Linked DNA regions of Oryctolagus cuniculus. The protein of the gene in region 1 interacts with the protein of each later gene in a biochemical or structural test. Links are inferred from orthologs where the notes say so. Each region holds a gene or a part of one and is shown on either strand. Other genes may lie near its edges.

The links.
Region 2: of the proteins of UBE2B (region 1) and UBA1, one has a biochemical effect on the other in vitro, tested with the Homo sapiens proteins (10 studies listed by BioGRID, with this or other methods). The link is inferred for Oryctolagus cuniculus from reciprocal best matches to the Homo sapiens genes UBE2B and UBA1.
Region 3: the proteins of UBE2B (region 1) and UBR1 form a complex in vitro, tested with the Homo sapiens proteins (2 studies listed by BioGRID and IntAct, with this or other methods). The link is inferred for Oryctolagus cuniculus from reciprocal best matches to the Homo sapiens genes UBE2B and UBR1.
Region 4: of the proteins of UBE2B (region 1) and histone H2A type 2-C, one has a biochemical effect on the other in vitro, tested with the Homo sapiens proteins (2 studies listed by BioGRID, with this or other methods). The link is inferred for Oryctolagus cuniculus from reciprocal best matches to the Homo sapiens genes UBE2B and H2AC20.
Region 5: the proteins of UBE2B (region 1) and RNF40 form a complex in vitro, tested with the Homo sapiens proteins (3 studies listed by BioGRID). The link is inferred for Oryctolagus cuniculus from reciprocal best matches to the Homo sapiens genes UBE2B and RNF40.

Annotation. Positions count from the first base shown.
Region 1 is NC_091437.1:22,632,507-22,637,469, reverse strand, and holds the start of UBE2B (ubiquitin-conjugating enzyme E2 B), read right to left. Parts: upstream 2,995-4,963; 5' UTR 2,992-2,994; coding exon 2,948-2,991; intron 2,925-2,947; exon of another isoform or gene 2,369-2,924; intron 1,134-2,368; coding exon 1,053-1,133; intron 1-1,052. UniProt on the Homo sapiens protein: E2 ubiquitin-conjugating enzyme that accepts ubiquitin from the ubiquitin-activating enzyme E1 and transfers it to a E3 ubiquitin-protein ligase. In vitro catalyzes 'Lys-11'-, as well as 'Lys-48'- and 'Lys-63'-linked polyubiquitination.
Region 2 is NC_091453.1:32,732,197-32,736,434, forward strand, and holds part of UBA1 (ubiquitin-like modifier-activating enzyme 1), read left to right. Parts: intron 1-514; exon of another isoform or gene 515-553; intron 554-737; 5' UTR 738-862; intron 863-1,018; coding exon 1,019-1,135; intron 1,136-1,240; coding exon 1,241-1,299; intron 1,300-1,401; coding exon 1,402-1,570; intron 1,571-1,650; coding exon 1,651-1,785; intron 1,786-2,750; coding exon 2,751-2,857; intron 2,858-3,142; coding exon 3,143-3,233; intron 3,234-3,337; coding exon 3,338-3,470; intron 3,471-3,961; coding exon 3,962-4,059; intron 4,060-4,177; coding exon 4,178-4,238. UniProt on the Homo sapiens protein: Catalyzes the first step in ubiquitin conjugation to mark cellular proteins for degradation through the ubiquitin-proteasome system.
Region 3 is NC_091443.1:65,928,509-65,932,302, forward strand, and holds the end of UBR1 (E3 ubiquitin-protein ligase UBR1), read right to left. Parts: intron 3,537-3,794; coding exon 3,395-3,536; 3' UTR 952-3,394; downstream 1-951. UniProt on the Homo sapiens protein: E3 ubiquitin-protein ligase which is a component of the N-end rule pathway. Recognizes and binds proteins bearing specific N-terminal residues that are destabilizing according to the N-end rule, leading to their ubiquitination and subsequent degradation.
Region 4 is NC_091438.1:48,064,622-48,067,585, reverse strand, and holds histone H2A type 2-C, read left to right. Parts: upstream 1-1,571; 5' UTR 1,572-1,634; coding exon 1,635-2,024; 3' UTR 2,025-2,070; downstream 2,071-2,964. Other genes in the region: histone H2B type 2-E, read right to left, coding at 920-1,300; histone H2A type 2-B, read right to left, coding at 2,185-2,577. UniProt on the Homo sapiens protein: Core component of nucleosome. Nucleosomes wrap and compact DNA into chromatin, limiting DNA accessibility to the cellular machineries which require DNA as a template.
Region 5 is NC_091450.1:6,351,557-6,356,360, reverse strand, and holds the start of RNF40 (E3 ubiquitin-protein ligase BRE1B), read left to right. Parts: upstream 1-1,406; 5' UTR 1,407-1,541; intron 1,542-1,652; 5' UTR 1,653-1,723; coding exon 1,724-1,855; intron 1,856-2,203; coding exon 2,204-2,371; intron 2,372-2,503; coding exon 2,504-2,645; intron 2,646-3,215; coding exon 3,216-3,422; intron 3,423-3,964; coding exon 3,965-4,086; intron 4,087-4,189; coding exon 4,190-4,336; intron 4,337-4,427; coding exon 4,428-4,502; intron 4,503-4,804. Other genes in the region: CFAP119 (cilia- and flagella-associated protein 119), read right to left, coding at 46-111, 512-543, 854-922.

The DNA.
Region 1 (4,963 bases):
ATCGCCTTTTCTTTTCACAGAGCACGATGGAGGTCAATACTCTCTGGTGTACTGAAAGCCCCCGACCACCCTGCTCTCCAAACAGCACGCGCTCAGCACAGGGGATGCTCGCTCGCGCAGATCACCTCCCGGCCGCCACACCCCAGTCGCAGGTTTCCTAAGCAGCAGTGGGAAAAGCAATTACTGCTGGCAGGGCACAGCCAGGACCTCCAGCAAGGGAACAGCCTGACTGTGACAGAACCATTTTACTGTGCACGGTGACCTTTGCTGCTTCTCTACTGGTCATTATATGCAGACTCACAATGGAGTCTGACAACTCCAAGTTGTTTATGAAACTATTTCAGATATTCAAATATTAGTGCAAAACGCTAGCTTAAGAAGAATGAAAGAAAAGAGAGCAAGTCCAGGAAAACCAGCGTGGCAGCACAGAAAAGGTCACACTCAACAGCCTCAGTATCCCATCGAAGGCTGCTTCTCCCAGGGCTCCAGGCATCTCACACTGGGACACTGAGATGTGAAACATTCTCACTGCAAGTCGTGTCACAAAGTTCTCATATTCTTGGTATCAAGACTTCAAGACTTTTTTTTTTTTTTTGACAGGCAGAGTGGACAGTGAGAGAGAGAGACAGAGAGAAAGGTCTTCCTTTGCCATTGGTTCACCCTCCAATGGCTGCCATGGCTGGCGTGCTGCGGCCGGCGCACTGCGCTGATCCGATGGCAGGAGCCAGGTACTTCTCCTGGTCTCCCCATGGGGTGCAGGGCCCAAGCACCTGGGCCATCCTCCACTGCCTTCCTGGGCCACAGCAGAGAGCTGGCCTGGAAGAGGGGCAACCGGGACAGAATCTGGCGCCCCGACCGGGACTAGAACCCGGTGTGCTGGCGCCACAGGCGGAGGATTAGCCTATTGAGCCGCGGTGCCGGCCCTCAACTACTATATTAACAAGTAAAAAATTGAGTATTAAACCATATGTGAAACACCACCAAAGAGCAAATAAGCTTGGTATGACTACCAAAATGTTCAAGTTTTTCTTAACTGAAATCTTTCAACTCACCCAAATATAACCGCATTCCACTGCATGATGTTGTTTTCCGACGGTGCGCCGCTGACACCCACAGGTGGGTCCTCCTGCAGTCTGGAAATCCAGAGTGGTCGGTTTAAAAGCGAGCATTAGAGCCACGAAGGAGGCCAAAAAGAACACTTATGGCCTCTGTACCAGCTATGCGGAGACAGAAACCATACCCATTTCCTTGTTGTTGCACCGGGCTGCAGTGACTCACATGACTTAAATACATCACCAGGGATATTCTAACGCACTCATAAATACCTCTCACGACCTGGGAGTCATCCCTCTCGAGCTACTACAAGAGTAAAACATCTCTTCAAAAACGCCCGTACACAGGCTGCCTTCTTGCCCCACAGCTGTAAAACCTCAAGGGCAAAAAAAATATTTCCCCGGAACCATTGATGGTGCTGCTCCAAGCAGGCAGACTGTGCGAATCCAAACTACAGCTGCTTGTGCAACATGGTTGCAAAAAAGGGGCTTTGCAGGGCAAACCTCAGTGCAGACAGTGAGGGCCGAAAGCACCTGGGTTCAGGTTCATCAGGGTCTGGATTTCTGCATCCCCTGTGCTTCGCTGGGCAGCGGCTTTTCGGAGTGACCCGCAGCTGGGTTGCCCAGCAGGCTGCCTCTGATGGCGCTGCGCTCATGAGGCAGCAAGACCGAAACCTCCTCCTCTGAAGACCCCTGGAGGAGCACCAGGCTGCCTGCCATGTGTTCCCCCCAGCAGTAAACACTCGCCGCAGGAACTGGGCAACAATGGCACCGGCTGCCAGTCTCGCCTCTTGAATTTCAGTCATGGGAACGAATGCAACGTTCCTGATTCTAAGCTTCAGATGTAAGATTTCTACCCCAGAGGTCTGTTCCAGACTGTCCCCACACTAAAACTACTACATTAAGGCACAAATACAGAGGCACTCATTTGCACACAGTGCTTTGCAGTGAGCCACGTAAACACGGTTTTCAGTTAACATCGGGCAAACCAGGCCTCCTGACCGGAAGCCCGAGGAGCTGGACACCTCCTTGTAAATCGCTCGAGAAGCCACGAGTGAACTAACACGGTGGCCAAAGCGCAAACAATGGCTCCCAAATGCCTTACATAAGCCTTTACAATGGCCAAGTTGAGAGGTTACTTCTTGAGCGGCAAATCCAAGTTTTGATACCACCTACCAAGTCCCCATTAAGGCAAGTCTACCCCCAGAAAACCTCCGCTAAGTTCTCTCTCACTGCTTCTCTGAGCTCCGAGTAGCCCGCACAAGGCAACCAAACAAACCAAAAAAGGGGCAGTTTCCTCCCCACAACCCCCACACCTCAGTCACAAAGGGAGGCTCGGCGGGGCTCGGACGCGCGCCAGGGCCGGCGGGCTATAGATAGGGCTGCGCTCAGCGGCCCGAGCCCCGCTCCGACGCCAGCTCTCAAGGTCCTGGCAGGCGGCGGGGGCAGAGTCGGGTTTCGGGGATGGGGTAACCACCTCCCGACCTCGCGCGGCACACCCCACCCTCCCCGCGGGGCGCAAAGGAACGGGGGGGAGGGGGCTCCGGGCCCCAACCCCGTCCCCCGGGCGCGGAACAAAGCTGACCGCTGCAGCGGGCGAGGAGCAAGCTCCTTCAAGAGCTCGCTTCTGGGCCAGAGAGAGGGGGCGCCGCGCGGTGCAGGGCGCCCCAGGCCGGCCGATCGCCACCTCTCCACTTTCGGGGGATGGGAGGGGTCGCAGCGGAATTTCTGAGTCCTCAGAGAGGTTGGCGAGGCCAGCACCGGGCTTCCGTAGGTCCCGCCGGGCCCACAGCCGGCGCCTTTACAGGCAACAGGGGAAGGTGTCCGGGATCCCGCCCTGCAGCCCCACAGCTTCAGGAAGGAGCCGCCATCGGGGGGCGGGAGGAGGCCCTTACCGCTTGAAATCCCGCATGAGCCTCCTCCGCGCCGGGGTCGACATGCTCCCCAGCTGCCCCGCGGTCAATCTGAAAGAAAAAGAGTCCCGCGCAGCCCCCCCACCCCCCGGCGCGGCGGCCGAATCACTGTGGGTCACCGCCGCCGCCGAGACTGCACAAACAACCCCGCAATGACGTCTCCCTCCGCCGCCTCCAGATCCCTCCGCCCTCCGCCGCTACCATGGCAGCAGGGGGAGCCGGGCGGAGGAGCGGGCCGGCGCCGCTTCCTGCAGCCCGCCGGCTGCGATCGCTCCCATTCCGCCTTCTGTTACGGATCGACAAATTAGTGTTCTCCGTGCTCAGAGCAGAGGTGGTGGGTTAAGCGACACAGAAACGGAAATACTACTTTGTCTTCCCCCCTCGTCACGAACTTAGGTTCGGCGGGGTGGGGAGAGAGGGACCGCATCCGGGGCCAGAGATTTCGGGGAAAGGAGGAGGGATGACGTAAGGTCACGTGGCCGCCGCCGGCGTTGTCAACAATCCACCCCTGAGGGGGAGGGGACGAAGTATCTAGAACCACGTGTCCCTGTGACGCTTTAGAACGGGTCACGTGAGCGCGTCCCCTGGACCTGCTCGGCCGGGTCTGGGAAGCGGAGGGCGGGGTATGTCTTCATTAGTTGTTCCTCGCGTCTGTCCCAGATACCGGGACCTTACAGCCGGAGTCGTGCTGGAACGATAGATTGATTCCAAAGTTTAAAAAACGGAACCACAAGTAACTCAGGACTTCATTGTTATCCCTCATTGGCTTATCAACTTTGCTCCGTGGGGCAGGAGGGAAAACCGAAAGGCTGTCACCTTCTAGGGAGCACAACGCAAAGTAAAAGCCCCGAAATGTTTCCCCACGGCTGCCGGATGTCTGTTCCCGCCTTGCAGTGGGGTTCCCAAGGTTGCTACTTCTAGGTGAAGACAGAAGAGTTAAAAAGGCCCCATGGAAATAAGTTTTTAATGGGTCTGTGTTCATTCTAAGATAACGACGGATTTGCCTGCTCTTTGGATTTGTTAGAAAATGGGGGTGCACCCGCGTGAGCAGATCAGGAGTGGTTGGTTGTCAACGAAATCTACAAAAGGACTCAGATCTGGAGGAAGGCATCGTGGAGGCACGTGGGAGCTATATAGCCAGCCCCAGATAACTCATTTTAGATTTCTCTGCATTCGCAAGTAGGGTGCGAATGGGCGCAAGTGCCACCTCCTCACAGGTGTGGACTATGGGGACCCTGAACATTCCTTCAGGTGCTAAATTCCCCCTCCCTGTAGCCTCCGTTTCTGTCCTGAGGATTTTGTTGGTCTGGAGGGCTCTGAGCCCTTCCCTATGGAGGAATTCAGTTCTACAAGGAGAAGGAGGGTAGGATGAGAACCACCTAATTTCGCACAGAAATTGCCCACAGTTCCATGGAACCAGAAAGGGTTAACTTTCCCATTTTCCTGATCACAATCTTTTTTCAAGCCCTGAATTCTAGCTTTTGGTTTTAGTAGAGGCCTTGTGATCAAGTTAGCCAGACCTTAGGTCATGGTGTGCGTTCACCGTGGGATTCTGCGTATTATTTTATTTCGCTTTCCTGCCATTGCAACCTTAATCCTCTCTATAGCCAAAGAGGAAGGCATAAGCGTAGTTACAAGCAGTGCAGTGCTAAAGAGAAACTCTTAAAAATCCCTGTCACTCTGGGTTCTGTTTCGGTTGCTCCTCTTCCAGTCCAGCTCTATGCTGTGGACCGGGAAGCAGTGGAGGATGGCCCAAGTGCTTTCTCTCTCTCTCTCTCACTGTCTAGCTCTCTCTGTCAAAAAAAAAAAAAAAAAAAAAAAAAATCCTTGCCACTTATCTAGCAATTTTTATTTATTTATTTTTTTTTTATTTTATTTTTTTGACAGGCAGAGTTAGACAGTGAGAGAGACAGAGAGAAAGATCTTCCTTCCGTTGCTTTACCCCCGAAATGGCTGCTGTGGCCTGCGCACTGTGTGGATCCGAAGCCAGGAGCCGGG
Region 2 (4,238 bases), on another chromosome or scaffold:
CTTAGCTACACTCTGGGAATTTTGATCAAGTCACTAACGTGTCTGAATGCAACTTTTTTTCCTTCACAGTGTGAGTTGGGGGCTATTAATAGTAGTCTAAAGCTGGTGGGGAGGCCCCCTGAGGACAGACAGAGCAGGCAAGGTTCATGAAGTGTTAGTTTGTATCAGGGGCTCCCTCCACTTGTAGCCAAGACTTCAAAGTGTGTGTTTGCATTTGCTTTTCCTTTCTTCCTGCAACATTGTGTTTTCTTTTGTTTTGTTTTCCTTTTTTAACCTGGGCCGACTCTCTAGCAAAGCTGGGGTTAGGGGGTTGGACTCTGCAAAACTCCTGCCAGAGCCACTCTGGAGAGTAGGTTCTCAGCAAGGTGTCTCCTGCCATCATGCCACCCTGCTGGATGTCCAGGCCTCCTTTCCCTCTCCCACCCTCCTCCCCTTTCCTCCCCCTGCCGTCCGTGGGATGGAGGGAGAGGAGAATGGTTGCTTATTACTGCTTGCCTACTCCGTGCCAGGCTCCTCGGTCTGTGTTTTTTCTCACCTCAGCCCCATGGGTAAGGTAAGTGGTAGTATCGCCTCCCCCTGCCCCCATTTTACAAATGAGGAAACTGAGGCCCATAAGAGTTTGATTACAGCTGCCAAGGAGTAGCTGGCTAGAGACTTGAAAACTGGAGCTGTCCTGAAGCCACATACGTTTGCTGACTTCTCCACAATGTGTTCTTGTTACTCCCGTCATCCTGCAGGATTGGAGTCTGTCCGTCACTACGCTGGGCTGGGGCGAGGCAGCTGGCTCAGTGGTGAGCTGCATGGATCTGCCAGCCACACCACCTGGGTTCAGCTCTTACCTCTGACGGCTGAGTGACCTTGGGCAAGTCACCTCACCAATCTGCCTGTCTCCTCTTGTGTAAAATGGGGGGACTCATGTGGGACTCATGTTGAAGTCGTCCCCTGCAGTTCCCACTGACCAATCAAGTAATGTCCTCGCGGGCACCAGGCTCACTCCTGCCTTCCTCTTGCCCTCCAGATGTCCAGCTCGCCGCTGTCCAAGAAACGTCGCGTGTCCGGGCCTGATCCAAAGCCGGGTTCTAACTGCTCCCCTGCCCAGTCCGTGTTGCCCCAAGTGCCCTCGGCGCCAACCAACGTGAGTGTCTTCTCTCTGGAGACTGGCAGGTGGGAAGGTACCCCTGTTTGTCCGTGCCCCGCTCCTGCCTGTCTTCCTGACCCGGCGCGTCCTCTCCCTCCCTAGGGAATGGCGAAGAACGGCAGTGAAGCAGACATCGATGAGGGCCTTTACTCCCGGCAGCTGTAAGCGGGGCCGAGGCTGGGCTGAGAGGTGGGAGGCGGGGTACTGCGAAGGGAGGGTTGGGTGGGCCGGGTCCTGACTTGGAGTGCCCCTTAACCTGACAGGTATGTGTTGGGCCATGAGGCGATGAAGCGGCTCCAGACATCCAGCGTTCTGGTGTCAGGCCTGCGGGGCCTGGGGGTAGAGATCGCGAAGAACATCATCCTTGGCGGGGTCAAGGCCGTGACCCTCCATGACCAGGGCACGGCCCAGTGGGCTGACCTCTCCTCCCAGGTACCTCCTTGCCCCCTCGCCTGCTGCTGAGAGACCAGCTCCTCTGGATGCCATCTCCCTTGACCTTTCTGCCGTTGCAGTTCTACCTGCGAGAGGAGGACATAGGGAAAAACCGCGCTGAGGTGTCACAGCCCCGCCTCGCTGAACTCAACAGCTACGTGCCTGTCACCGCCTACACTGGGCCGCTGGTTGAGGACTTCCTCAGTGGCTTCCAGGTACCTTGGGGGTACCACACAGCCTCTTGCCCCATGTGCAGATCCCATCTCTGGGTGCTCAGCACTTGCTTAATGGGCTGACCCTGTGTGCCAGGTTTTGTCCTGGGGGAGCCTAGAGGGTGCCAGCAGGATGAGATTTGGGACTGGCCTTTCTGGGAGGAGGATGCGTGCAGGCAGACAGTGCAGCTTAGGGGCCTGAGCACAGGCGCCAGGGCCACACTGCCCTGCCAGGAGCCTCTCGCTCTCCTGGTAGGGTTTGGGCAGGTCCCTTAGTCTCTGGCTCTTGGTTTTCCCTCTTTGTAGTCTGGGCATGGGAGCAGTACTGACCTCAGAGTTTTGGTGAGGGTTAAGCAGCTGCCACGTGGTAAGGGTTCCATGGGTATTCATTAAAATGTCTGGACTGCAAAGAGGAGCTGTGGAAGCTGAGAGTCAGTCCTGAGGTGTCCCAGGAAGCCAAGGGCACCACAGCTGAATCCCGATGTGGCTAAGTAGGAGCTCACCCTGGCGGGTCAGGATGGACGTATGAGGCAGAGAGCAAAGTCCCCAGGACGGGGCCGGGCAGGCGTTGTCCTGAGAATCGGGAGCAGGTGGGTGTGGTAGGAGTGAGCTCAGACGCTGGCTGCCTCTCCCAGGGCACGGCAGGGTTGTAGGCAGGCAGCAGTGGGTGTTTGTCAAACAAGTGAGTCAGCTGTTCTGCATACTCCATCCTCCCGGCTGCCTCTGCGCCTTTCCAGGCATGCTTTAGGGATTCGGTTTTCTCTTTGCCAAGGCTCACCCTGGTGGAGTCTGACACACAGTAGGTACTTTGCCTTTGTGAAAGAGGACTGAAGTGGCAAAAAGCCCAGCACCTGGGCCTTAAGGACACTTTAGCCCTCTGCACAACCTCCCTTCATTGTTCTCCCCGCTTCGCCCCAGTGCCAGGCCCCCGGCCTGGGCCTCCCTGCTGAGCCGCTCCATCCCTGCAGGTGGTGGTCCTCACTAACAGCCCCCTGGAGGACCAGCTGCGCGTGGGCGAGTTCTGTCATAGCCGTGGCATCAAGCTGGTAGTGGCAGACACGAGAGGCTTGTTTGGGTGAGTGCTGCCCCCCACTCTCTTTGTCCCTGACCTCTGTCAGGCCCAGACTGAGACCCCCAGGCTCCTGTGCCCTCATCCCTCCCCAGCCACCTGAGTTTTGGATTATTTTGTGTTCCTCTGTCCTCCTGTGGCCTGAGTGCCGTCTGGTTCCTGCGGTGATTCCAGCAGTGATGGACTGAGAATTTGCTCAGCAAGTACTCACTGCGTTTTGAGGGATGCATGGGTCTTGGGCGGGGGGCGGGGAGGGGACTTTGGCATCAGCCCTGTTGTCTCTCCCTACAGGCAACTCTTCTGCGACTTTGGAGAGGAAATGATCCTCACAGATTCCAACGGGGAGCAGCCCCTCAGCGCCATGGTTTCTATGGTCACCAAGGTAAGGACCAGACTTGGCTCCTGGCAGGTAGATGGGCAGTGGCAGTCCTTGTGTGCTCCTGGTACCCTCAGCCTGCCTCTGAGGCTCACTCCTTCTTTAACTAGGACAACCCTGGTGTGGTTACCTGCCTGGATGAGGCCCGACATGGGTTTGAGAGTGGCGATTTTGTTTCCTTCTCCGAAGTACAGGGCATGACTGAGCTCAATGGAAACCAGCCCATAGAGATCAAAGTCCTGGGTGAGCCGAGGCCATGGGGGACTCAGGGGAGCCAGGAGCGCAGTGAAGGGGGGATGATGTCCCTGGGTTCCCGGTGAGGGGAGACAGACACATCCTGGGTGTCTGAGATGAACCAGAGACAGAGTCCCCTGGTCCAAGCAGAGCCGGCGGGCATGGGGGAGAGATGCCGTCTGTGTCAGAGCTATTGCTAGGGGAATGGCTCTTGGAGTCTGAACGGGGAGGTCTCTGGTGTTTGAACGAGGCAGATCAGGATGTACTCATACTTCAGCTGATTGGGATGGGGAGCAGAGACGCAGGCTGTTGTGGGGTTTAAGTTGGGTCTGGGGCAGACCAGAGATAGTTTCTGATCCCCAAGTGGAACTTGTCGGGGGAAGAGGGGAGATAGTTCTTGGTGTCTGAGCTGGGGGAAAACAATTATTTCTCATACCTTGTGGGTGTGGAGGATTTTTAGGGAGGGTGGGTAGACTTGACAACTTCCCCATCCATCATAGGTCCTTACACCTTTAGCATCTGTGACACCTCCAACTTCTCCGATTACATCCGTGGAGGCATTGTCAGCCAGGTCAAAGTACCTAAGAAGATAAGCTTTGTGAGTGTGTTGGAGAGGGCAGTGGGCTTGGGGGCGGGGGGTGGGGGGGCTGGCTTGAGGCGTTTCCCCCTCTTCTGTTCCTCTCTTCTGGTTCCCATGCCCTGTCTCTCTCCAACAGAAATCCTTGTCAGCCTCGCTGGCAGAGCCTGACTTTGTGATGACGGACTTCGCCAAGTTTT
Region 3 (3,794 bases), on another chromosome or scaffold:
GTGAGAATTGAGAACGTGCTCACCCTCTAGAGGTGACTTTAATGCAGTCAAGTTTGAGAAAGATTACACTACCATATGATGCCCATATGGTAGCCACTACCCAATTAGGACTGTACATTTAATTAAAATGAATAAAATCAGTAATTCAGGTCCTCTACTAGCCACATTCCAAGCACTGAGTAGCCATGTGAAGATGGTGACTACTACCCTGCAATGCAAATGCAGAACTTTTCCGGGCAGTGTTGCTCCAGACAGCTGTCTGCACAATAAAGTGTGCATACACAAAGGGATGTACAGGTTCACTTGGAAGATACTTAAATATCTGTTTCTATTTCAAGTGGTCTTTTAATCTCCCTTCCTTGAGCTATGTTTTAAAAAATGTATTTACTAATTTTTATCTATTAGAGAGGGAGAGCTAGAGACAGAGAACTCCTATTTGCTGGTTCACTCCTCAAATGCCCACAATGCCAAGGGCAGGCCAAGCTGAAGCAGAAGCTGAGAACTCAGTACAGGTCTCCCATGTGGGTGGCAGGGACCCAGTTACTTCAGCCATCACCTGCTGTGTCTCAGGGCATACATTTCCTGGGAGCTGAAAATGGAAGCAGAACCAGGGCATGAACTCAGGCACTCCAGTACAGGATGTGAGTGCCCCAATCTGGGTCTTAACTGTCAGGCCAAATGCCCACCTCTGAGCTGTTTTTCATCATACTTAATGTATTAGCATGGTACTATATGAACACAAAAAAATATGTACTTATATTTGGTATGTATGCTTAAAAAACTATTTACAGATGGAATGCATGGTCAAAAACTTTGGACATCCATTTACACTAAACATCTGTGTCTTCTAAAAAATTTGCCTGAACTGATAAGCATAATTTTTTACTATAGCTTTTATCTAGTTATAAATTTTTATACTTCAAACCCAAATCCCCAAACATGAGAAGTCCCTTTTTTCTTTTTAAATATACACATATATTTTATTTCAAAAAGCACAAGAACATTATACAAGTTTTAAATTTACATTTTTGCAATAAAAGATATCAATATATGCATTATTTGTATAACTTCATCATGGATGGAATTTGAATCAGTGGTATAAACATGTTGCAGTCACTAAATATAGATCATCATCACAGTGAACCAAAATGCATAGTTGTTATGAAATGACAAATGACCACTAAAAGATGAACTCACAGCCCATACACCAACATAATAAATTAATTTTACAGATATGTTTTTCTTCACTGTATCATTAAAATTCTTGCCAGTCCCTCATTAAACATTTGAGAAACACAGTTTTGGGGCCATCCTGTTGAACTTGTTCCTTCATTTACTGTGCTAAAGAAAACAAAGTGACTTGGCTGTTTGTGAGTAAACTTCATAAGCATAATTGTTTGCAGTGATGAAGGCATACCACTGGTACATCTGAACATAATGAGAAATCCTTCGGGCTTGGGGCAGCGCTGAAACTTACGTTCATCTATAGTGTGGAGATCTGAATCAAGCCCAATAAGCAGAACTCAGTAAGAAGTGTGCTCTTTGGCAGCTAAGGTCTGGCTGGCCATCGCCAGGTAGTCCTTCTGGCAGCTTGAGAACTTAACTCCAGGATTTATGAAGTGAACATGAAACAACTTGAATGAAAGTTTATTTTGTTAAACTGGGGCCAATCAGGGCAGAAATCAGCATTTTCTGTTGTCTATTCTAGGTCAGACTTCCAAACAATCCATCAGATAAATTATATAAGAAACAAAGGAAAATGTTCAAATCATTTAAACTGGCAAATCTGACAAAGTGAATACTGAGTTTTCTGATCCTCACCTGTTGATTGTTACAAATTCATTACAGTTGTAGATATTTCCTGATATCTTCTGAATAGCAATTATTCAAGTAAAATTCATGATTGTGATTCCGATACTGGCTCCTGCCAAGCCCTTACCACAAAATTCACTTTTCTTTACATAAAAGTACCAAAAAAAAAAATACCTCGCCCCAAATGTGCATGAATCACTTAGCATATATATTTTTATTTGCTTGCCTTTGCTGAGCAAAAAGCAGTTAGCAAAACACTTCCACACATATAAGACAGTAGTAGCCAAAGTCAAAATAAGATACAGTCTTTGAATCTTTCAAACACCTGACATTACCCCAGAGAAAACAGAAGCTAAAATAGAGGGTTTCAATATATCTTCTGTCTTTTGTTTTGTATCACAAGTTCTTGATATAAAAAGTTAAAGCCCAAAACCAAGAAGTCTATGCACAGAGTCGGGAGACTTCGGTTATCTATAAACAAGATGGCTCAACCACAGGGCATTTATTATGGGATGCAGACTACTGATTACATGGCTTTTTAAAGTTGTTTGTACTAGTCATACAACCAGAATTTATGAGAAGGTTGCACACAGGGAACAAATCAAGGATTTGTCTTTTACAAAGACACAGAAGGTTGCAGAGTTGGCTTAAATCTGATAGTTTTAATTTACAATTGTCATGATCCATTCACTGGGAGAATTTTCTTACTCTCATTCTATAAATAGTTTCCATCAGAATCATATTAGGTTTCTACGAGTCAGATAGGGTAGTTCCATGATTAAGAGATAAGAAATATCACTGTAGAAACCTGCCTCTGGGAAATAGAAAGTGTAATTTCAGAATTTAACAAAGCTGTTTGTAGTCAGAGGTGTGGATTACAGGCTACTCTTCTCATCAGGAATGAGTAACGAAAGCAGTATCCTAGGTCCTCTTGGCGTCTACAGAAGAAAAATACTGTTTTACACTGGCTGAAATCACAATCTGTCCATATAGGAGTCAGCAGGTGGAAATTAGGGGTATTTCCTTAAAGCACAAATAATAGGTTTACATTTTTGAAGTCTTTCTCAAATGAACTGTAATGCATGATTTCTGCATTTCCTCTTCAGCTGCAAGGAAGACTATCACAGATATTAGACTCTTGTCAGTGATCCAGTGCCAGCTAGACTAAACTTGGGGGAAAAACCAACAAACACAAAATGGCAGAAAAGTTATCCAATACAACATTGTACACAATTTACTTGATGTGACTTCATTCATTAGGTGGATGAAATGAAATCGGACAGATTATGAAGGGGAATGAGCTTCCTGGAAATATTAGCAGAATCAGACACATGGCGTGAACAAGCATTTCTTTAGTGTTCTAGAACATAAAACAGATAATCTATGTCCTTCTTTCCCTTGAAGCATACATTTTCTAATTGAAAGCAATACTCCATTAAGGAATATTTTATTGATGTACGTGAATCTGGACATGGAGCAAAAAACCCTCCAATCCTTCCCCAGCCCTTGGAAAGGTCTCCGTAATTCTCAATCAGTCTTCCCACTGAAGTCATTCGTGATTGTCTTGAGGCAGAATTGGAGCTCACAGCAACTGCCAGTTGAATCCAAATAACATCTGATTAGTTTCCTGGCTCCTAGCAATCTCTTCTATAATGCAGTGTTGTTGCCAGACCAAATGGAGCTTCCGATATCGCTCATGAGATAAATGAAGAGGGTTGCCTCTCCTTTGGGGGAAAACAAAACAAAACAAAAACATGCAAATTTGAATCAAATAACTATCTTGGCCTTATTGTCGAAATTAGTTTGCATTCTTGACATGTTCCTAGAGCTGGGAAGAACCACTAAGAAAAGGTTTAAAAGGGGATAGTGTCCCTTCACCATTAGTCACTAAGAACTTGATAGGTTATATATTTAATGAGGCAGAAATTTACCCTATACTATTCAGAATTCAGGTCAAGTACACTATGGACACTATGAGATCT
Region 4 (2,964 bases), on another chromosome or scaffold:
TACGTGCCAGGCACTGATGGGCGCTGAAGATACGGAGGAAAAGCAGGCCAGCAGGGCCTTTGTCCCGGTTTGAAGAAAGACCATTAACGAGAAAGCAAATGAGCCAGCGAATTTCAGCCAGCTGCGTGGACGAAGATGAAAACACACAACAGACAGGGCCAAAGGGCAGGCTCCTGAGCGGATGCCGCTGGCAGCGGTTCTTAATCCCCGAGCTAAACCACCCGTGTCTTGCAGTGACCTGGGGCAGGCTTCCCAGCACAGAGCATTAAATGCAAAAATCATTTACGGACTTAAGGAATCCTAGGACTCTCCAAGCTACAACGTCAGAGGCGGAAAACAAAGTCTTTAAGAATTCTCGAGTGGCGCGAATTTTGAATATTCATGCCGCCCAATCAGGAAAAGTCTGACCCTCAGCGGCGCGGGCTCCGCCCCAGAGCACAGCACCGGTCACCCGCAGGCCCGCAGGCCCGCAGGCCGAGCCCTCCCCGCGCCGAGCTGGCCACCCCGCCGCTTCCGGTGCTAAGCTGCTGCTGTACACAGCGGCCGCCGGACGCGCCTACTTGTGTCCTGCAGTCTTCCTAAACCAATAGCTGCAATCAGCCACTCGAGTTTAAGACGGCCCAGCGTGTGTAACAAAGCCGCCCGGCCACTGCCGCAACGCAGAGGGGTAGGGGCGGGCCATCGCCGCTGTTAGGAGTGAAGACGCACTTGGCACTCAACGCAAGTCCAATCACGCGCCGGGAACCTCGGGGTCGGAACGTCTTAGAGAATGCCAAGTACTCCACCCCCACTACGTCTGGGCTGCAGTAACTTACTTGTGCGAAGGGACTAAGGGGGGACGTTATGTGAACACGGCTCTTTCCCGATCAGATGGGTGGCTCTGAAAAGAGCCTTTGTGGGTTAGCGGCACGGCAGGGCCTCACTTGGAGCTGGTGTACTTGGTGACAGCCTTGGTGCCCTCGGACACGGCGTGCTTGGCCAGCTCGCCGGGCAGAAGCAGGCGCACGGCCGTCTGGATCTCCCGGGACGTGATGGTCGAGCGCTTGTTGTAGTGCGCCAGGCGCGACGCCTCGCCGGCGATGCGCTCGAAGATGTCGTTGACGAACGAGTTCATGATGCCCATGGCCTTGGACGAGATGCCGGTGTCGGGGTGCACTTGCTTGAGCACCTTGTACACGTAGATGGAGTAGCTCTCCTTGCGGCTGCGCTTGCGCTTCTTGCCGTCTTTCTTCTGCGCCTTGGTGACAGCTTTCTTGGAGCCCTTCTTGGGCGCGGGCGCGGACTTGGCTGGCTCGGGCATGGTAAACACCACACCAACGCGATACAGCGGGGAAAAGGAATAAGAGGATGGGCGGGCCTGATCCTCTTATAACCATCTTATGCAAATTAGGAATCAAAATGGCTTTCGTTTCCATTGGTCCGTGCAGGAAAGTTGCGTTTTCGGTAAAAGCCTGCGTAATGACAACAGCTCGACTTTATTGGCTGTTTCTGAAGCCATATTAGGACCAATGAAAAGCTCGTTCCTGACCCCACCCCCAGGGAAGCTTATAAAGGCTTTCTTCGTGGGTTCCTTTCAATCTTGTTTTGTTGCGAGGTTCTGCGCCCTAGCTGGGTTTGGTTTCTTTTTCTTAACTATGTCTGGTCGTGGCAAGCAAGGAGGCAAGGCGCGCGCCAAGGCCAAGTCGCGGTCGTCGCGCGCCGGGCTGCAGTTCCCCGTGGGCCGGGTGCACCGGCTGCTGCGCAAGGGCAACTACGCCGAGCGCGTCGGCGCCGGCGCGCCCGTCTACATGGCGGCCGTGCTCGAGTACCTGACGGCCGAGATCCTGGAGCTGGCGGGCAACGCGGCGCGCGACAACAAGAAGACGCGCATCATCCCGCGCCACCTGCAGCTGGCCATCCGCAACGACGAGGAGCTCAACAAGCTGCTGGGCAAGGTGACGATCGCGCAGGGCGGCGTGCTGCCCAACATCCAGGCTGTGCTGCTGCCAAAGAAAACCGAAAGCCACAAAGCCAAAAGCAAATAAATTTGACGACCTGAACCAAAGACCAAAGGCTCTTTTTAGAGCCACCCAAGTTGTCAAAGAAAGAGCTAACGCGCTGCTTGTTATCAGCCCTCCGCTTGACACTGTGGTGGCTCTTAAAAGAGCCTTTTGGGTGGACGGGAGTGGTGTCACGCCTAATCAATCACTTGCTCTTGCCAGGCTTGTGGCTCTCCGTCTTCTTGGGCAGCAGCACGGCCTGGATGTTGGGCAGCACGCCGCCCTGCGCGATGGTGACACCCCCGAGTAACTTGTTGAGCTCCTCGTCATTTCTCACGGCCAGCTGCAGGTGGCGCGGGATGATGCGCGTCTTCTTGTTGTCGCGCGCCGCGTTGCCCGCCAGCTCCAGGATCTCGGCCGTCAGGTACTCGAGCACGGCCGCCAGGTACACCGGGGCGCCGGCGCCGACGCGCTCGGCGTAGTTGCCCTTGCGCAGCAGCCGGTGCACCCGGCCCACGGGGAACTGCAGCCCGGCGCGCGATGACCGCGACTTGGCCTTGGCGCGCGCCTTGCCGCCTTGCTTTCCGCGTCCAGACATGACGGCTAAAAACCTGATTTCAGCTTGTTTTTCTAGGAGAGGCTATGGAAAGGATAGGCAATTTGATGTAATTTATAAGAGCTACCGGGAGGGGTGAAGGGAGGCAGTTTTATTGGCCGAGAGCGGCAGCCAATAGGAAAGCGGCACTCGGCCTTTCGGTTTGCATCCTGCGGCTGCGAGGAAATGACGGCTTTTGTATCTACCTACCAATCGCTGAGAGCCACATTAAAGCCCCTTATTTGCATGCCAGGATTTTTAAAGAGAGAAGGTGTTTTTTTTTTTTTAAATGCTTTCTTTTTCACTGAGTGGCAACATGTGGGGTTTCTTTTACTCCACATTAGGGTAATGGAACTCCATAAAAGACCCCCAAAGGACTCTCAGAGGGAA
Region 5 (4,804 bases), on another chromosome or scaffold:
TCCCAGCCGCCGCCCCGCCCCAGCCCGGCCCAGCCCGGCCCGTACTGCCTCGTCTCTTCCGTGCTCGCTGTCTTCTCCAGCTGCTGCATGGAGTGGATGTCCAGGTACTTCCTGTCACGGGGAAGAGGGGACGGAGTACTGATGCCTCCTGTCAGAGCGTCAGGTTGTCTGGCAGGAGGCCTGAGGTTGAGGTTTGGCTCTGTCACTAACGTGCACCTTGAGCAAGTCACTTCCCTCTGTGGCCTGGGGTTAGGAAACCTGTGTTCAGCCACAGATGACCTAGGTCAGTGCAGGCCCCACTGTCCCCGTGGCAGCTGCGATATTCTATCCATAGCCTCGGTCCTTGGTGCCTCTTTGCAGCTGGGAGGTTACAAGGCTGTGTGCCCGTCACCGAGTCGTGGCATCTCTGGCCTCAGCCTTCTCCTCCGTGCAATGGGAACGGCGCAGTTGCTGGGTGGGGCTGCTGGGAGGAGGCACCGGAATCCCCACCCCCCAAGCAGTTCGCACTCACCACATGCAGATCCGGGGCTGGGGCAGCGGCGGCTGCGGAGAGAAAGCAGCTTGGGAGGGGAGAGCTGTGCTGTCTGCGGTCCCTAAACCCTGGTCGGTGGCCAGCGCCCAGCGGGCCCGAACGCGCTCTAACTGGCCGCCTCATTTCCAGGTCCGCGTCCAGGCAACGCGGTCGGGGCTGGACTTCGTGGATAACGTTATCCATGAACACATTCACAATCGGGGGCACAAGTCCCCCACCGCTTTTCACCAAGGCAGCCCGGGAAAGTCTAGAACAGGTGGCGCCCCGTCGGAGGGCCCTTCTGTGAGCATTCACGAGCGGACCACTGCGTCTCGCCCTCACCGGGAACAAGTTGGCTGCGGGATCTTCGTCGGCCGCCGCGACCGACTCGGTCCGCACACCCATTTCCATCTGCACCGGATCCACCCCCGGGGCTGAGATCCTTCTGTTCAAGCTCCGGCTGGGGTCGGCTGGACGTCTGGCTGACCGATGCCGTTGCTCCCTCGCGCCGCCGGCGATCTGGGTCTCCAGCAGCTCTCGCCAAGGCCCGGCCCCCTAGCGACGCTTCAGCCAATCTACACCGGAGAGACGCTGGATGCAGCCAATCCGCCGGAGAGGGCGGCTCCTTCCGCCTCCACGGTGACCGTTGCTAAGGGGCCCTGTGGAAGAAGACATAACGTATAAAATGCACGCACACGCCAACCAGCGAGGGGGCGTGCGCATGTGTAATAAGTTGCAAGCGCCCACACGGGTGCCGTCTCGCCAAAGTTGGGACCAGCAGGATTGTCCTGAGGGCTGGAAAGTGAGTGCGGTGTCAGTTACCATGGAAACTGTCTACTGGCTAATCGCGGGGAGAAAGAGAGGGCGTTCCGAAAGGAACCCAACCACGCGAGAGGCACGACCCATAGAAACAGGAAATAGAGGAGGTTCGCCACATCCGGCGCGGCTCTGGCGCCTGCGCGCTGCGGCGGGGAGGCCGGTGACGTCCGGTGGGATCCAAGATGGCGGCGCTAGGCTGAGCCTGCCGTCGGTAAGGGTGTCGGGGCCGGCGGGGGCGGGATCCGAGCAGGGTATCTGCGCGGGGGCCGCTCCGGGCTGTGGCGCGCCGGCCGCTCCCACGCCTCTGCTCTGCCTTCTGCAGGGGAAGTGCCGCCTCCGCCCGCCTGACGCCCCTCGGGGGACCCTGCGCCGCTCCCCGTCCCCGCCGCGGCCATGTCCGGGCCCGGCAACAAACGCGCCGCCGGCGACGGGGGCTCGGGGCCCCCGGAGAAGAAGCTGAGCCGCGAGGAGAAGACCACCACCACTCTCATCGAGCCCATTCGGCTCGGGGGCATCTCCTCCACGGTTCGTGGGCTCCTGCCACCGCCCTCAGAGCTGCCACACTGCTGCCTCTTGTGCTTCGCCCAAACCGCCCGAGCTCGTGCTCCCAGCTCCCCGCGCGAAGCCAAGTCCACGTGGAAACCGAGGACACGGTGCCCCGTCTGCCCCTCGCAGATAGGAAATGGGTTGCCAGAGGGCGCTGGCCTCTGAGTCGGAACGGGACGGCGGCAGGAGTAGGCATTTCCCCCTGTGGGCGCCTTGAGTCGCTCTGAATCCCGTTAAGCAGTATGGCCGTCCCCGCCCCCCTCCCGGTTCCTCTCCTGTGTGCGATCCGTTTCCGGGTGGTCAAGCCCCCGTGTTGTGTGTTGGTAGGAGGAGATGGACTTGAAAGTTCTTCAGTTCAAGAACAAGAAACTGGCGGAGCGTTTGGAACAGAGGCAGGCCTGCGAGGACGAGCTCCGCGAGCGGATTGAGAAGCTGGAGAAGCGCCAGGCCACGGACGATGCCACCCTCCTCATCGTCAACCGCTACTGGGCCCAGGTCCATAGCCTTTTCCGCCCTCTGAGACGCGGCCATGCTCCAGCCGCCGCTGTCCCGTTGCCGGCCGGGAAAGGAGCCCAGTGGCCGGCCGCAGCGAGGGAGCCCTAACTTGTGGGTGCTTTCTCCCTTCAGCTGGACGAGACTGTGGAAGCCCTTCTGCGTTGTCACGAGAGCCAGGGCGAGCTGTCTGCAGGAGCGGAGGCGCTTGGGACGCAGGAGGGGCCGCCGCGCGATGGGACCCCTCTCCCAGAGCCAGGGACGTCGGAGCTGAGGGGTAGGGCCAGAGCCCTGGAATCCGGGGTACTGCCGTTCTGGGAAGAGATCTAAAGAGGAGGGGGCTCTGGTACGGGGCTGCTGAGTGTCTTCACCTCCCACTGCCCCGTGGGCAGCAAACGGCTTTGGCATCTGATTCGCTTGGTTCGCAGCGAGTTTATTTTTATGTTTTGCTGCCCGTGAATTTGAAAGTCTTATGTGTTGGCTGTGTGCTTAGCATTGTTCCAGACGCGGAGAAATCAAACAGGGAAGAAGCGGTCATAAGTTACAGTAAGGAAAAAGTATGGAGGCCCCTGAAAGGGACAGTGCATGCATGTGTGTGTGCGTGTGTGTGTCTAGATTGCAAAGGTCCCCCTAAGGGACAGATGTGACAGCTCTTGTGGATGTGGTTTGGCCTCTTTGAACTTGTGTTGTCTCGTTTGCAAGGTGGCACAGCCGTGCACTGTAGGTTGCGTCCAGGGGCCAGGGGAGTGTTGAAGAACTCAGTCTGGAACTTGGCAGCAGTTAGCGGGGATGTCCGTGACCGTGACCGTGACCCTCCCCCTCCTAAGGGTCTGTCCCTCCCTCCCAGAGCCCTTGCCGGTGCAGCTGCGGCCCCCTCTCAGCGAGCCGGCCTTGGCTTTTGTGGTGGCCTTGGGTGCCAGCAGCAGTGAGGAGGTGGAGCTGCAGCTGCAGGGCCGGATGGAGTTCTCCAAGGCAGCCGTGTCGCGGGTGGTGGAGGCCTCAGACCGTCTGCAGCGCCGAGTGGAGGAACTGTGTCAGCGGGTGTACGGCCGAGGTTGGTTTGCCGTGGCCCACCCCACAGCTGTCCCTCCCCACCTGTATCTCCATGCGACCCCACGCCCCCAGCCCACGGGCCGCCAGAAGTCCACAAGGAACAGATCAGCTGTGTTTTCAGGAAAAAGGGTTAGGTTGCCGGTGGGGGTTTCAGTTTGATTCTTGCAGTTAAAACCTCAAGAGCTGGGCTGGAGGAGAGGGTGGTGGTTGGCAGCCCCCTTTCAGCTGGAGACCTCTCTGAGTCCTTGTCCAAACCTCAGTGGCCGTTGGCTGATCCACACAGCGCAGCTGCAAATGTCCGCGCTTGGCAGGTTGACAGGCTCCTCCCAGCCTTAGTTTTGTCGCCCTAGCCTGGGCGCTCTGGGCAGATGACTGCCCTTTCTGAGCTGGTTTCTTCCTCTGGCGAGCGGGCATAAAGACTCTGTCGTAGGAAGTTGGCAAGACAGCTGGTGGATCATGCTGGGCACATGGGAGGCTCCAGATGCGTTAGTGCTTTGCCCCCTTGCGCTGGGCTTGGCTTTTACCGGGGCCCTGCTTTCCCAGGGGACAGTGAGCCCCCCAGTGAAGTGGCTCGGGCTCGCACCCGGGAGCTAGGCCGGGAGAACCGGAGGCTGCAGGACTTGGCCACGCAGCTGCAGGAGAAGCACCACCGCATCTCGCTGGAGGTGGGTGTTGGAGCTGGGCTCTTGGTTGGGATGACAAGCGTGGCTGGGTTCCGGTAAGGGTGGGGGGCGGGGCCACCCATCTGCCTCCTCCCACACCCCCCAGTACTCCGAGCTCCAGGATAAAGTGACGTCGGCAGAGACCAAGGTGCTGGAGATGGAGACGACGGTGGAGGACCTGCAGTGGGACATCGAGAAGCTGCGCAAGCGAGAGCAGAAGCTCAATAAGCACCTGGCGGAGGCCTTGGAGCAGGTAGCCGGGCTGCTGGGCCGTCAGCGCCGCGGCTGGGCACCGGGGGCCCTGGGTCCTGCATTCACGCCGGTCATCTCTGTGCCCGTCGCAGCTCAACTCCGGCTACTACGTGTCTGGGAGCTCGTCGGGTTTCCAGGGGGGCCAGATCACGCTCAGCATGCAAAAGGTGAGCCGCGCTGGCCCTGCCGGCCTCCCGGAAGTCCCTGCAGCAGGGAGGAGAAGCCTCGCTCCCCCCGAGGCCTTGCCCCGCCACTCCTGCCACTCTGTCAGTCGTCAGGGGATGGTTCCCGAACACTGCGTACTGGGGACCCAGGCACATTGCAGAGAATAAGAGTGAAGGTTCTGTTTGGGTAAAGAAATAAGCCCCACGAGGAAAAAGCCCAGGAAAGACAGCAGGGGGAGTCCACGCTAGCGCTCCTGCATTTCGGGAATGCCTCCCTGTCTTCCTGTCGGTTAAGCGCCTTAGCG